2 linked regions of the Diceros bicornis minor genome follow. The protein of the gene in region 1 purifies or fractionates together with the protein of each later gene. This does not show direct contact. Links are inferred from orthologs where the notes say so. Each region holds a gene or a part of one and is shown in the gene's direction. Other genes may lie near its edges.

Evidence for each region.
Region 2: the proteins of HNRNPA0 (region 1) and DHX9 purify together in Homo sapiens (affinity purification with mass spectrometry; 3 studies listed by BioGRID and IntAct, with this or other methods). This does not show direct contact. The link is inferred for Diceros bicornis minor from reciprocal best matches to the Homo sapiens genes HNRNPA0 and DHX9.

What each region holds. Positions count from the first base shown.
Region 1 is NC_080740.1:56,395,057-56,402,125, reverse strand, and holds HNRNPA0 (heterogeneous nuclear ribonucleoprotein A0), read left to right. Parts: upstream 1-4,913; 5' UTR 4,914-5,002; coding exon 5,003-5,917; 3' UTR 5,918-6,275; downstream 6,276-7,069. UniProt on the Homo sapiens protein: mRNA-binding component of ribonucleosomes. Specifically binds AU-rich element (ARE)-containing mRNAs. Involved in post-transcriptional regulation of cytokines mRNAs.
Region 2 is NC_080743.1:84,571,514-84,579,637, reverse strand, and holds the start of DHX9 (ATP-dependent RNA helicase A), read left to right. Parts: upstream 1-4,959; 5' UTR 4,960-5,065; intron 5,066-7,758; 5' UTR 7,759-7,780; coding exon 7,781-7,891; intron 7,892-8,124. UniProt on the Homo sapiens protein: Multifunctional ATP-dependent nucleic acid helicase that unwinds DNA and RNA in a 3' to 5' direction and that plays important roles in many processes, such as DNA replication, transcriptional activation, post-transcriptional RNA regulation, mRNA translation and RNA-mediated gene silencing.

The sequences.
Region 1 (7,069 bases):
AAAACTTTTAAAATCTACTCTCTTGGCAACTTTCAAATATACAATACAGTATTGTTAACTATTATCATCATGCTGTACATTATATCCCCAGGACTTATTCATCTTATAACTAGAAGTTTGTACCTTTTGTCTGGTCACTTCTCCTAGACTTGGGAAGCTATCCTTTTTTCACATCAAGCCCTCCTCCTTTGATGTCCCCTCTCAAGTGAAGGAAACAAATATAAATCCCTTCTCAAAGCCTGGATTTTGCACCTGAGGCAAGGGAATACACAGGCAGTAGAACAAGATACAAGTAATATCTTCACAGATTAAATAGGTCTGTGTATTCTGCTGCCTCAGGAGCAACTTGTAAAACTAAGCCTCCATGTGCCTATTTTTTTTTTTTTTTTTACAAAAAGCATTTTATTGAGGGCATTTCTCTTAGATAGCCAAAGAGGGGAAGGGGAGAGAGGCAAAGGCCTCTGAGTGAAAAAGGGTGAGAGGAGCCCCAATCTACATTTTTGCCATTCTGTTCAAGTATGGGGTTCAAATTAAGTTCAGAATTAATTTGATTTGGTAAAATAAGCAATGTGACCTTTCACACATCATCATGATGGCATAAGATTCATACGCAAACACGTCATTATTGTTCCTTTACAATATCAATTTAATTGCTTCATAATATTCTTAGAGAGAATATTTAGTTCCTTTTTTATGTAATTGGTTAATTGGGAGCAATTAGGTAATTTCCAATTTTTTTCTAGTATAAACAGTATTGAAGTGAACATCCTTGTAGCTAAATCCTTACACAGATCCTTAATTATTTCCTTAGGATAAATTTCCAGAAGCATCATTTCTGGTTCAAAAGGATGGGTCAAATTTTAACTTTTTTTTTTTTTTTTTTTTTTTTTTTGTGAGGAGATCAGCCCTGAGCTAACATCCGCCAATCCTCCTCTTTTTTTTTGCTGAGGAAGATGGCCCTGGGCTAACATCTGTGCCCATCTTCCTCCACTTTATATGGGACGCCGCCACAGCATGGCTTACCAAGCAGTGCGTCGGTGCGCGCCCGGATCCGAACCAGCGAACCCCGGGCCGCCGCAGCGGAGCCCGCGCACTTAACCGTTTGCGCCACCGGGCCGGCCCCTCAAATTTTAACTTTTGATGTGAGTTTTTAAGAGTCCACTAGGAAGATTGTACTTCATCACAGCTGGCAGAGAGTGCCTTTTTGGAAGATACCTTGAGTACATAAAAATGGAATATGTATTAGTTTGCTAGGGCTGCCATAACAAAATACCACAGAATGGGTGGGTTAAACAACAGAAATTTATTTTCTCGAAGTTCTGGAGGCTGGAAGTCCAAGCTCCAGGTGCTGGCAGGGTTGGATTCTCCTGAGACCCTCTTTCCTTGGCTTGCAGACGGCCACCCACTTGCTGCCTCCTCACGTGGTCATCCTTCTGCGCATATGTGCCCTTGGCGTCTCTTCCACTTTTTATAAGGACACTAGTCATATTGGATTAAGGCCCCACCCTAATGGCCTCATTTTAAGTTAATCACCTCTTTAAAAACCTTATTTTTGGTTACAGTTACATTCAGAAGTACTGGGGGCTAGGGCTTCAACATATGAATTTGGGTGGGGGGCGGGTGAGGGGAGACACAATTCAGTCCATAACATAATCCTAACTGCAAAAAGACACTTTTGGGTGTAATAGAAAATTGACCAAAAAAAAACCCAGAGTTGCTGCTGATAGTTTTCCTTTTCTTCTTCAGTTCGTTTTTTCCCCCTTTCTCCTGTTCTCTTTCTGTCTTTTTCTTTTTCTAAGTATAATTTAGGTACGGTAAAATAAACCCTTTTTAATATGCAGTTCTATGAGTTGTGTAACCACCACATTCAATTAGGTTTTTGTAATCAAGCTTGTAGGAGGGATGGAAACCAAAAGTTGCCTAAATTTCAGTTACATTTTTACATTTCTTTGTTTTGGAAGGCTGAGACACCTGTAAGTAAGGTAAAGCCAAGAAACAAACTCAGGCAACGAAAAGTAGAATAGGAAAAAAAAAAGTTTTTCTCCCTGAATAGTCTGAGGGGTAGGAAATTGCATCATTTAAGTGTTTATATAACACTCTTATTCACTATCCCTACCTTTACTAATCTAATCTCCGAAAAGAATCTAACATTCCAATTATCTTGCATTTATCCTGGCTTCCTAAATGTCTCTCAAACATGCTTGTGTTGTCTCCCATCATCCCTACCCCTCTTCTATATGCATGGCTTATACTGGACATATGCCTCTATGAAGCTTTCTTGTCAATAGAAATTAATGGATCCCCAATTAGGTGGTGTGATTATTTTAAAACAACGTAGGAGAAAACTATTTCTTTAAAATTTAGTTTAGATGGGAAAATAAGTTATGGTCTTATTCTCTTCAGAAATTCATCTTTTACTGCTTTAACATTTTTTGGATGACTCTAAAGTAGATTTCTTAAGGTCTAATCTCTTATCCGAGCTATAGTCTTGGGCATCCCAGAAAACAGGGCCCCGTGAATATCCCAGTATCATCTTTAACAACCATGTTCATCATCTCCCCCTACTCCCTCCAAAATAGTTTCTTTTCTTAGATTTTCTAATTCTACCCTGCTGCAATTTTAGACTCCCAGATTTCAAACATTGGAGTGCTTTTATTTTCCTCATTCTTTGTCATCAATCAGTTAGCAAAAGCTGACATATCTGACTTGTTTGTAACAGGGTAAGAGCATCCTATTGACCTTCTCTTTTAATTTTTCAATGGCACTTATCACTATCTGACATGCTATATACCATTCTCATTTATTGTCTGCTTCTCCCCACTAGAACATAAGCTCCATGAGGGCAGAGATTTTTGTCTATTGTTTACTGCCATATTCCCAGCACCTGGTATAGTATTTGTTGGATAAATGGAGCACTTACTATGGCCAGCACAGTGCTCTGCGTTTACATGCAGAATCTCATTTAATTTTTACCACACTTGGAAGGTGTTTTATTGTTCTGACTTTCAGATAATAAAACTAAGTTTTAAAAAAGGTTAAGTGACTTGCTCAAAGTCACACAACTCGATGGTCACAGGGTTACTAAGTGGTAGAGCCAGACTCTAGTTTGTCCCCAAACCCTGTAGCCTATCTGTATACCTTCGGAATAATATTCAAACTCAATCTAAAATTCAAGATATTCCATATCAAAGACCCTTAACCTATCTTACCTCTTAATATTTTCTATCAAAAACCTCCTGCTCCCGTCAAACTGGTCCGCTCACTGCCCCTTGAAACTTCTGTAGCTTGTTTCCTCCTGATTTTGCTCAAACGCCCTATAGAAATCTTATTTAGCCTTTGACTCTGAGGTTCAGTGCAACTTCCACCTCTTTCACAAGTCATTCCTGACTACTTCAGGATACGAGGGATTCCTCTTCTTCAATATTTACCACATGGTTTTGGGGGTCACGTAATGTCTCATATTATGTGCCCCTCCATGTATCTTGCTTGGCGCACGAAGGTGCAATAAACGGAAGCCGTTATAATTCTCATGCAGTCCCGCCTGAGTGAGGGTCTGTAAGGCAGTTATCAGGGTGGATGATATTTGTATATAATGTTCATGTGTTTAACTTCCTCGGCTCCCAGTCTGATATAAAAGGCCTTTAAAAGGCAAACGTTTTAGTCGGGAAGGAAGCAACGCATAGATAACGTAAATTAAACATATAAAGTGGTGTGTTTACTGAGGTAAAATGAAAATGTCTGCTGTCGGAGTGCGCGAAGGGCGCTGAGAGGGGCGTCGCGGGAGGGCTTCGCGGACGGCCAAAGAGCGGCGGGCTCTCGCGCCACACCTCGGTGGGAAAGGCTGAGTCGGTTTTGGCACACGGTTGTCCTTCATAGTGCCTGGGGCTCGCTTTTGCGCAGGGCCACGTGCCAATGTTTTAGTTTAACTGCGCGTGGGGCCCACCGTAAACGGTTACTAACCGCCTTCCCCGACCACGGCTCTACCCTCCATCTTTGTGCGGACGGGAGGGGCGAGGACGCCAGGTGTAGCGGCCGGGTCCAAACGCGGCGGGTAAATCCAGGCCCCCATCCCCAACAGCCAAGTTTTCAAAAAGCCCGCGCGTGACGCCCCAGGCCGCATCCGTTGGGAACGGCCCCCAGCGCGCCTCCGCTCTTCCCTCCCCCGCCCCCAGCCCCGCACCAAGCCGCGCGCGGGAGGGGGCGTGGGGGTGGCATGCAAGCTCTGCACACAGGGGACGCCGGGGCCGGCGCGCACCGGGGAGCGCGCCCGTCCAGCCGCTGCCGAAAACGGAAGTGGGTGTGAGCGGATCGCGGTGATTGGCTGAACTGATATGTCTCTCAAGGGGCTGGCGCGAACGCCACTGCGGAGTTGGGCCATGGGGTATGGCATGGGGAGGGGGACAATCACTGGGAACAGCCGCGAGGCTGGCAGGAAATGAACCGCGGAGGTGTGCGGAGGGCAAGGAGAGTCCCCCGTCAGGGCACCCTGGGGAGCCCGGGAGTGAAAGCGGGGCGCTACAACCGGCGGCCGGAGCCGCGGAGGCCGAGGGCTTGAATAGACTGCGGAGGGCGGGGAGTCCGTGACCGAGAGCGGCGCTGCGGCGCGGTAGGCGGGACTAAGGAGAGCGAGGCGGGGATTGGCTGACAGCCCTGGGCTGCCGTACGTCGGCGGTGACGCACGCCTCGGGGAGGGTGCGCGCGCGTTCAGCGGCCTCTTTGTGTGGTGTCCAGATAGGGGAGCGGAGGTGGCGGTGGCGGTAGTGGCGGCCTTGGTTGTGTTCCAGTCTTCTCGGCTCGCCCTCTAGCCGGCACCTCTCCCCTTCCCTCCCCCTTCCTTCTTTCCTCCTTCCCTCCCCTTCCCTTCTTCCCTTCCCCGTCGGTGAGCGGCGGTGGCGGCTCCAGCAACGGCTGGGCCCAAGTTGTGAAGAGGCCTCAGGCAACGATAGCGGCGACGGCGAAACCTCGGAGCTCGCAGGGCGGGGGCAAGGCCCGGGCCTTGGAGATGGAGAATTCCCAGTTGTGTAAGCTGTTCATCGGCGGCCTCAACGTGCAGACGAGTGAGTCGGGCCTGCGCGGCCACTTTGAGGCCTTCGGGACTCTGACGGACTGCGTGGTGGTGGTGAACCCCCAGACCAAGCGCTCCCGTTGCTTCGGCTTCGTGACCTACTCCAATGTGGAGGAGGCCGACGCCGCCATGGCCGCCTCGCCCCACGCCGTGGACGGCAACACGGTGGAGCTGAAGCGGGCGGTGTCCCGGGAGGATTCGGCGCGGCCCGGTGCCCACGCCAAGGTTAAGAAGCTCTTTGTCGGGGGCCTTAAGGGAGACGTGGCCGAGGGCGACCTGATCGAGCACTTCTCGCAGTTCGGCACCGTGGAGAAAGCCGAGATCATTGCCGACAAGCAGTCCGGCAAGAAGCGCGGCTTCGGCTTCGTGTATTTTCAGAATCACGACGCGGCAGACAAGGCCGCGGTGGTCAAGTTCCACCCGATCCAGGGTCATCGCGTGGAGGTGAAGAAGGCCGTGCCCAAGGAGGATATCCACTCCGGAGGGGGCGGAGGCGGCTCCCGGTCCTCCCGGGGCGGCCGAGGCGGCCGGGGGCGCGGCGGTGGTCGAGACCAGAACGGCCTGTCGAAGGGCGGCGGCGGCTACAACAGCTACGGTGGTTACGGCGGCGGCGGCGGCGGCGGCTACAATGCCTACGGAGGCGGCGGCGGCGGGTCGTCCTACGGTGGAAGCGATTACGGTAACGGCTTCGGCGGCTTCGGCAGCTACAGCCAGCACCAGTCCTCCTACGGGCCCATGAAGAGTGGCGGCGGCGGCGGCGGCGGCGGCAGCAGCTGGGGCGGTCGCAGTAACAGTGGACCTTACAGAGGCGGCTATGGCGGTGGGGGTGGCTATGGAGGCAGCTCCTTCTAAAGAAAATTTAAAAATGTCTGGGAGCGGCTATAGGGGTAGCTCTTTTCGACAGCCCGACTAGGGTCAATTCCTAAGTCCCTTTCCCTCCCACCGCCTTCCCCATTTGCCCTTGGGGGAGCCTCTTTTGAGGCTGCTTACTCTTGGGGGTGTTGCCCTGTTTGCCTGCCACCTCTTGTCTCTCCCTCTGAAGATGGACTCGGCCCCACACACACATTTTTGTGTTACAGTCATTGATGGACTCTATTTTTTTATTATTACTTGGACCTTGGTCGTTTTTATACTAGCAAAACGTCTTGTTTTAATTTGTGTTTTTTTGGGGGGAGGGAGTGAACTTGCTGATTCTGTAGCAAAACCTGGGCGGGGGTTGGGGTGGGGGGGTAGTTTACTTTGTTGTAAGGACTTGATACCTGGCTACAGCGTTTTCTATGAAATCTACTTGGATCCCATGCCTGAAATTTGGAAGTATATGTACAAAAATCATTTTTACGTTTTATTTTTAATAAATCATTGTGTTTGACCGTACATGTCTAACATTTTTTTTCTAGGATCCATTCCGTACCGTTTAAGGGATATTAGTTGAAAATTTTTCGTGTTAATTCTCAATTCTTGATGTGTACTTAAGAGAAACTTTTAAAAGGTTTAAAAGGTCCTGTGGTTTTTTTTTTTTTGTTTGTTTCCCTGCTAGTGACTTGTTGAATTTTATCCCTTACAGGCAAAACTTTTGAAGTGGTGGATGTGGCTTTTTAAAATCTTTAAAGTTTCTGTGCATCCATCTCTTGTACTAAGCGATTTGCTTATCATCTTGACATAGTTGGTCACTACTTTCTATGAGAATTTACTTCAAAGTATGTACTGTGTAGTTCTAAAGAAATAGTTTGTGTTAAGCATGTGTTTTCATTCTTATAAACTGTTTAAAAATTTTCAGATGGCCTAGTTTCATCCCTCTTACTGGTTTGTCTGTAATGAATGGTTACAAATAAGGGTTATATTTTACCCTCAAACTAAATGCATTTTTGTATTTTCAGAGCAGGTTTAAACGTTTTTTTCCAGTGGCTGAACTGTTGTCCTCATGGAAATCCTTCCCCAACCTTTGTAGCACCATCTACTGGCAGAATGGCAGTATATCTGCAAAACAATTTGTCTTAAAAACTT
Region 2 (8,124 bases), on another chromosome or scaffold:
GTCTTGATCTCTTGGCCCAGGCAACTTGGGAATCAGCAAATGCTTCTGTCGGGGGAAGAGGGAGAATCTCCCTCTGCCCTTTCCCTTAAGGTTCTTCTGGCTGGCCAAATAATCAACAAGACAGGTTAGCAGGAGAAAATAATACCAAGTTTAATAACATGTATACATGGGAGAAAGCAGGGACACGCGTTTCTCAACACAATAGCAGAAATTCTCATCTTAAATACCATCTTCTTCTAAAGACAAAGGAGGATGTTGGGGGTGGGGGGTGTCAGTTACAGGAGATTACCACTAAAGCACTGTAAACAAAGGTAAGGTTATTATGCAGATTTAAGACCTCACCTTCCACATTGATAAGTTTCTAGAAATGAGGTCATCCCCCCTCTTCCCAAGACAGAAAGGGAGATACCTTTACAAATGGAGATTTCCCTTATAAATGTAAATGTTTGTCTGGCAACTCCTCGCAGGGCCATCCAGAGAATGTGGCCAGAGAGACAGAATTTCTGATAAGATGGGCTTGTTGGTGCCTTTCCTATTGTAACATCTATTTTACATTATATTACAGCCATCAGATGGAAGATCTGTTCCAGGAAGGAGCCACCATGTCAAATTCTTTAGGCAGTTAGTGGGGGAGGTCAAATGTCCTTCAGAGAAAACAATCAAGGTAAAGAGATATATTTCAGGGTGGCCAAATTTTGATCTCCCACACTTCCAAGTGAGAAGTGACACAAAATCTCTGCTGCTGCTGCTTCCTCAGGATTTTGGCCCCTCACATATATTAGCTTCCTTGATTGCTTTCTAATGCTTCAAACAGCTGTTTTCTTTTGATTTTTTTCTTCCTTCAGAGTGTTTGATAAAAGCTGCTCTATCACGGAAGTCTCTAAGAGCAATCTCCATGAGAAAAGGATCTCATCTGTCTTGTTTAGGGCTGTTTCCTCTAGAACAGTGCCTAGTACAAAAAAAATGCTTTCAATAAATATTTCTTTTAGTTAATGTAAGTAGGAATTAGACCATATGTCTGTCCTTGACATCCTTATCATTTACAATCTTCCACATCTATCTGAGGGAGTCTAGAATTGTTGAATCTCCTTTTTTAAATAATTCCTCAGTCCCATTCCTCTCCCCCTGTGATAGACATCCATTCTGATGTGTTTAATGTGATCTTTTACAATTTTTTATGCAAAATATGTATTGCTGTTTTTTATTTATATAAATGCTGTTATATAACTTATTTTGTTCCTTATTCTTTTCATTTATCCCTGTGCCTTTAAGGTTTGTGTATATCTAATTCATTTCTTCTGCTGCATTGGATTCCATGGTTAACATCCACTACATTTTATCTGTCTAGGGAGGAGCACCCAAATTGCTGCTCCCTGCCAACTCAAGCAATGCTGTAATAAACATATCTTACTGTTCTTTTTTGGACTTACATGAGAATTTCTTTGATATAGATCTCAATAATATATATATAGGTGTATATATATATCTCCAAGAGCAGACTTGTTTGATTTTACCCACCCAAACAATTTGTTTGACTAGTATCAGATTTCTCTCCAGAATGGCTGTACCAGTCTACTTTTTTACCAGCTGCGTGTGGTGAATCTTATATCCCCACATCACCACCAACATTTGACATTATTCACTTTTCTAATTTTTGCCAATCTAATGGGCATGTGGTGATATCTGACTGCTGTTTTAAATGCATTTCTCTTGTTACTAATGCTTTTGAGCACCTTGAATATGCTTAGTGACCTTTTGGTTTCCCTCTTCTGAAAATTGCTGCTTCGTGGCCTTTGCCCATTTTTCTGTGAGGATTGCTACATTTTTCTTGTTGATTTGAAGGAGTTCCTTGAATAGTTTAGAATAGTTAATCATCTCTTGACAACCTTAAACATCATGAACATCTTCCCCAACTCTTTCAACTATCTATTAACTTCATTCATGGTGTCTTTTATTGAGCTGATAGCCTTAATTTTTTTGTTTTTGTTTTTTTATCACGAAGATCAGCCCTGTGCTAACATCTGCCAATCCTCCTGTTTTTTTTGCTGAGGAAGACTGACCCTGGGCTAACATCCATGCCCATCTTCCTCCACTTTATATGGGACGCCGCCACAGCATGGCTTGCGAAGCCGTGCGTCGGTGCACGCCTGGGATCCGAACTGGTGAACCCTGGGCCACCGCAGCGGAGCGCACGCACTTAACGGCTTGTGCCACCAGGCCGGCCCCTAGCCTTAATTTTAATATAATCCATGCCTTTAGTTTTTTGCCTTACAGTTTGTACCTTTGAACTTTCCTTTAAGGGGATATTTTTTATAGATATTTCCCGTCATCCTGTCTGACATCCAGGTTCCGTGGATGCGCTGGTAAGAGCACCAGAAGAGTCTGGCCCACAGGATCACTTGGACTGGATACCTTCCTGGGATGCAAAGAGCACCCACCTTCTCTCTGTCTCTAAATTCTACCTTTCTCTCTACCCTGAAATTTCACTTCTTTTGTCTTTTTTATATCTTCTTAATGTAAACCTACCAATTTTAACCTAATTCATTCTGGGTTTGGAAGTGGAAAGAATGTAATGGTTCAAGAAGAATCCTGACTACGTGGACTTCAGCCTATTCAGCAGCGTAGGCAGCTTCCTAAGAGTCTGAAGTCAAGCCATCCAAGCTGTCAGGAAGTCTCTGTGAACCTTTTTTAAAAAGGAAAAGCTTCATCCCTGCCTGGGTACAACACTGTATATGCTAGTACAAGAGCAATGAAGGGCGCAAGTGTCATTGGTGTTCACAAGCCGCTGAGTGGGCTCAAACGTCACCAGCACTGGCCTCCTCAAGACATCATGACCTTGCTTACAGCCTAGTTCTGGCATCAGGTTTTCTTAATCCATTCCTCCTCTCCAACTCTTTGTGTATTTGAGAAACAGAGGAAGAGTGATGAGTCAAAACATCCTCTTCCATTTCTCATCATCCATTTCAACCATAAGTGTCGGTTATAACCATCCCATCCTCCTTGCCAGAAACTTGGCCTCAGTCTGTTGGATTGGCAGAAGTAAGAAATGATATGAGAAACTTTGCCAGTTTTTTTCCACATACAATCTACAGATTAAGATATATCTTTATAACCTTTATTTTCTACCAAACTCAGGAACTAAGTCATTTCTAGCCAAGAAGGTAAATGTGAAATGTTAAGTAACCCATTTGAAACAGACCTTTCATTATTTGATCTTTATGAGTGATCTGTAGCCTCAGTTCCACATTCTCAGGTAGGAAGAATGTTACTTATTTCCTTACCAAGCTTAAAAAAATTCCCACACTGCTCTGTCTTGCTTTACTAACCTCTGTAGTTTTCTAGATAGTCATATACTAGGAACAGTTAATAGTTGGATTGAAATCTGTCAACTTTCTGTATTTCTGGAGCATGTTTTGAAGCTTCATCTGCAAATGTTAAGGAAGATCTTAGAGGTGCTAGTTGCCTGGGGCAACCTACAAAGGTAATGCCAATTCCCTGGGGACTCTAGGTCTCAGGTGCAAGGCCTAAATTAAGAACCAAATCGGGCCAGCCTGGTGGCCCAAGCAGTTAAGTGCTCGCCCTCTGCTGTGGGGGGCCCGGGGTTCGCTGGTTTGGATCCCAGGTGTGCACCAACGCACCACCTGGCAAGCCATGCTGTGGCGGCCTCCCATATAAAGTGGAGGAAGATGGGCACGGATGTTAGCCCAGGGCCAGTCTTCCTCAGCAAAACAAAAAAGAGGAGGATTGGCAGATGTTAGCACAGGGCTGATCTTCCTAACACACAAAAAAGAACCAAATCAATAATAAAATTTTCCTTAATCCTTGGAAGGTAAAGATCCACCTCTGAATATTTTATTTACACTTAATATGCTGACACTTTTGCTGTGTTCATTACCTACTACAAAACACTTGCAATCCATTTATGCTAGTTGAGTGTCTCTTATCATAAATAACTCAGGTATCTGCTGCTTTGATTCCCCTGGTGGGTACGAAATAAATAAAAGATAAAGGTCTTTCCCTCAAATGATTTTACTCTTAATTGAAGAGAGCAAACACATAAAGAAAATAAAAGAATGGGTAAATTATAAACTGTTTGATTGTAAGAGCAACCAAGTTAAAGGGATTGATTACTGTGAGCAAGAGTTAAGAAAAAACGTAATGAAAGAGGTGAAAAATAAGGATGGATAGTATGATGGGCCCACATAATGGGACAACCAGTATCTGGAACAAACCCAACTTGAACTATTTTGTATTGTTGCCTTCATGGGAAGAACTAGAGTTAAAAAATTTAACAGTGACTGCTATATAATAGTTAAGGATACAAAGTATTCCAAAGACTCTGAAGACAAAAAGCTATCCAATTTAAGCAAAAACAGCCCTGCAGGTTTTACCCATTTATTAAACTAGTTTTTCCCAGGCACTTAGGATGTGCCAAGCACTGCGGTGAGTGGCCCGAGCTAGCCAGTCAGGGTTCCTGCCTTCACTGAGCTTATTTCTCTTTCAGGAGACTTTCGCGTTGGAGTATCTCAGTCACTACAATAACAATACCTATTGAACGCCAATCATGTGCCACGTCTTGCGCTAAGGCCCCTTCATATGCCGACTCATTTAATCATCTCAACAACCCTGTGAAGATAGCACCTAAGATTTCCAGTTCTGGCTTCAAAGGACCTCATCTACCAGAGGCCCCCTTAAGCGAAACATTTTGCAGCATCAAAATGCTACAGGTCCCCAACTCCCCAAAATGTTTAAAGGCAGCTAGCGCACTACAAGAAGAAGCGGGACTGGGGCGCGGCGGGCTAAGCTCCGCGGATCTCCCAGGCGACGGGACGCTACCCGCGGCGAGGTTGCTGCGGCCCCGCCCCTCCCTCCGGGCGCCCTCTGGCCCAGCCTCGCGCTCTGCGCATGCGTACGTGCACTGACCCCGCCCCTCTGGCGCCGCCGTCGGAGCCATTTCGCTGCCGCTTCCATGCAAGTTGCGGTGCGCGTGCTGGGTGTTGGTGAGGAAGGCCGGCGTCACGGGCGGTCGTGAGAGAGCTGTGTTCTCCGGCACCAGGAAGCGGAGGTCGGTAGGAGAAAGACGTCTTTGCCACCCGTTGGGGCGGCGTGGAGCCTCGCGGCTCTGCAGCCGGGCTTTGTTGCGGAGCGCGGGCGGCGGCGGCGGGTGGGGGAAGGGGGAGCCGCCCCGCCGGGTGCCCGGATTGCGGGTCGTGTGCTGCTCGCCGCGCCGCCGGGGGCCGCGTTGTGGCCCCCAGTCCTTCGCCCGGCGATTCCCAGTCCTGTCTCCGAAGCAGCCCGACCCTACTTCCTCCTCCGGCCAGCGCGCGGCGGTGGCGCTGTCGCCGTCGCCGCTGAGTGAAAGGGGGTGAATGGTCTGGTGGTGAGCCCGCCGTGACGCCGACGCGCCCAGAGCCCTTCATTCATTCATTCAGGCCGTAAATACTGGGCGCTGCCCCGCAGGCGCTGTGGGAAGAGCAGTGCACACGTTAGGCGGGGGCCCTGCCCTTCCCTCGCCGAGGTTGTGGTCGTGGTGGGGGTGGGGGCTGTAGGAGAACAAATGTCTGCAGGTTTCGGTGAAGAGAGAGGAATTACGGCGTGTAAAGGGAGAGAGCTACTTTAGGTGGGATGGAAAGGGAAGGCGTTTTGGAAGAGGTCGACCTTTGAGCTGGTATCTCGGCCTTGAGACCGAGAATGGCGTCAGCCGTAAAGATGCGGAGGAAAAGCTGAACTGCAGGGGCAGAAGGGATTAGTTAGCGCTTAAAGGCAGGGATTGGAAAGAAGCTGAAAGAAGGCCATGTGACTGGAGTGTGGTGAGGATTTAAGAGAAGAACGGATTTTAGGGTGGCTAGAGTAGAAACGGGGGCGTCATTTAGGACGTGATTGCAGTACTCCGGTGTGCAGTAGCGGTGGCAGGGGAGATGGAGAGAAGCGAATGGATTAGAGACATGTTTTGGAGGCAGAATTGCGTAGTAGATCAGGAGTCGGATTATCTGGTTTGGAATTCTGGGTCCCCCACTTAGAGCTCTGTCTTTTGGGCAAGTTATTCTTTGTCTCAGTTTACCTATCTGTAAAAAGGGGATGATAATAATGCGTATCTATACAGTTGTTGTAAGGGTTAAGTAAAATAGTTCATGTAGATGATCCTCAGGATTCTTACTGTCTGGTACACAGAAAGGGCTCCACAAGGGATAGCTATGGAGGATCTTGAAGGAGTGGATGACTCCCAGATTGTGACGTGAGTGGATGGTGGTGCCATTTAAGGAGATGGGAACACTGGGATTAGGGGGAGGAGGAAGAGGTTTGGGAGGAATTTTAAAATTCTGTTTTGACTGAGATGCCAAATTAGCATTCAACTGGGTATGTTAGTGCTGCAGTTGGATGAACTTGATTTTTTAAAAAATGTTTTTGCTGAGGAAGATAAGCCGTGAGCTAACATCTGTTGCCAGTCTTCCTTTTTTTGTTTTTGTTTTTGTTTTATTTTGGTGAAGAAGATTGGCCCTGAGCTAACATCTGTTGCCAGTCTTCCTCTTTTTGCTTGAGGAAGATTGTCCCTGAACTAACATCTGTGCCAGTCTTCCTCTGTTTTGTATATGGGACACTACCACAGTAGGTCCACGCCAGGGACCTGAACCACTGAACTATGCCATGGGCCGGCGCCTAGATAAACTTGATTTTGAAATTTGAAGAGAAAAGACTGAATTTTCAATATATATCAGTTTGGGCATCATTAGCATATACTTGATACTGAATATTACAGAGTTAGATGAAACTACCTAGGGAGGAAGGAATTAGATAGTGTAGTCCTTCATATTTCATGTTACTCATTCACCCTGAGGGCTTGTTTTTTGAATTAATTATTCAGGAGTGGAGTTTATAGATAGACATCTTCAGCTTTCCGTAGCTTTTCAGTTAATAGGATGTCCCCAGGATTAGCCTCTGGCTGCAGAATAAACTTATTAACAAGTTTATGCTAGGGTCCAGTTTGATGACATTAGACTTTGGTGCTAACAAAATACACTAAACATTAACAGAAGACCAAAGTTTAATGTTAGTAATGGGATTTCTTCTCACAGCAAACCAAATTCATAGCATATTTTCATTGGTTCTAAATTTGGTCTCAGGTATCTTGTAAATTAGACTCAGATTTTAGATTCATAGGCACCATGTCTTTTGGTATCTTATAAACTGGAGTAGAGGGAGAGTGCCAACTTGGCACTCTGAATTTGAATTTAGGCCTCCACAAGTGAGTGACTGGGAAAAGTTACTTAAACTTTCTATGCCCTAGTTTCTACCTCTGTAAAAGATGATGATAGTATCTACCATGTAATGTTGTCTTCCATCGTTGTGAGAATTAAGTGAATTAAGACACGTAAGATGCTTATTGTAAAAAAAAAAAAAAAAAAAATATGGGGGAGTACATTACGTCAAATATTTTTTAAGAAAAGATAAAAATCACTCATAGTCACCCAAAGATAACCATTTTGGGGCATATTTCTTTCCAGTCTTGATTTATGCATATATACTTGTTACATAGTTCAGATCTTACAGTTTTGTAGCCTGCTCCTTCTTGTAATGTGTCATGAACTTTCCAATCATGTCTTTAAAGTTTCCTCATAGGTGATTTTAATAGCAGCATGATAGAATATCCTGTACTTAACCTGGATTTTCAGTAAATCTCACTTATTGTTTATTTCCAGATTGGTAATTTCCAATATTTGCTCTTATAAATAATGCTGTTTTTAACTATTGTTTTCTTAGGTCTGAAGAAGATATTTGAAACATGGGTGATGTTAAAAATTTTCTGTATGCCTGGTGTGGCAAAAGGAAGATGACCCCATCCTATGAAATTAGAGCAGTGGGGAACAAAAACAGGCAGAAATTCATGTGTGAGGTACTAAAGAATACAGTTTACATTTATGTGATTTTTGAGGCTTATTTTGGTGTTAAAAGAACAGTGTTTTCTATTTGGAAATGTTAATGCGTTGCATGTTGGAGAATGTTCTTTATTGTGACTTGCCTGCTATTCTGGTTCATTATAAATCATTTTCATGTGAGCATTACTTTTAGAACAGTCTGAGAGGTGGATTATTCTAATTAGAACATGCATCTTCCTCAACTTCTATG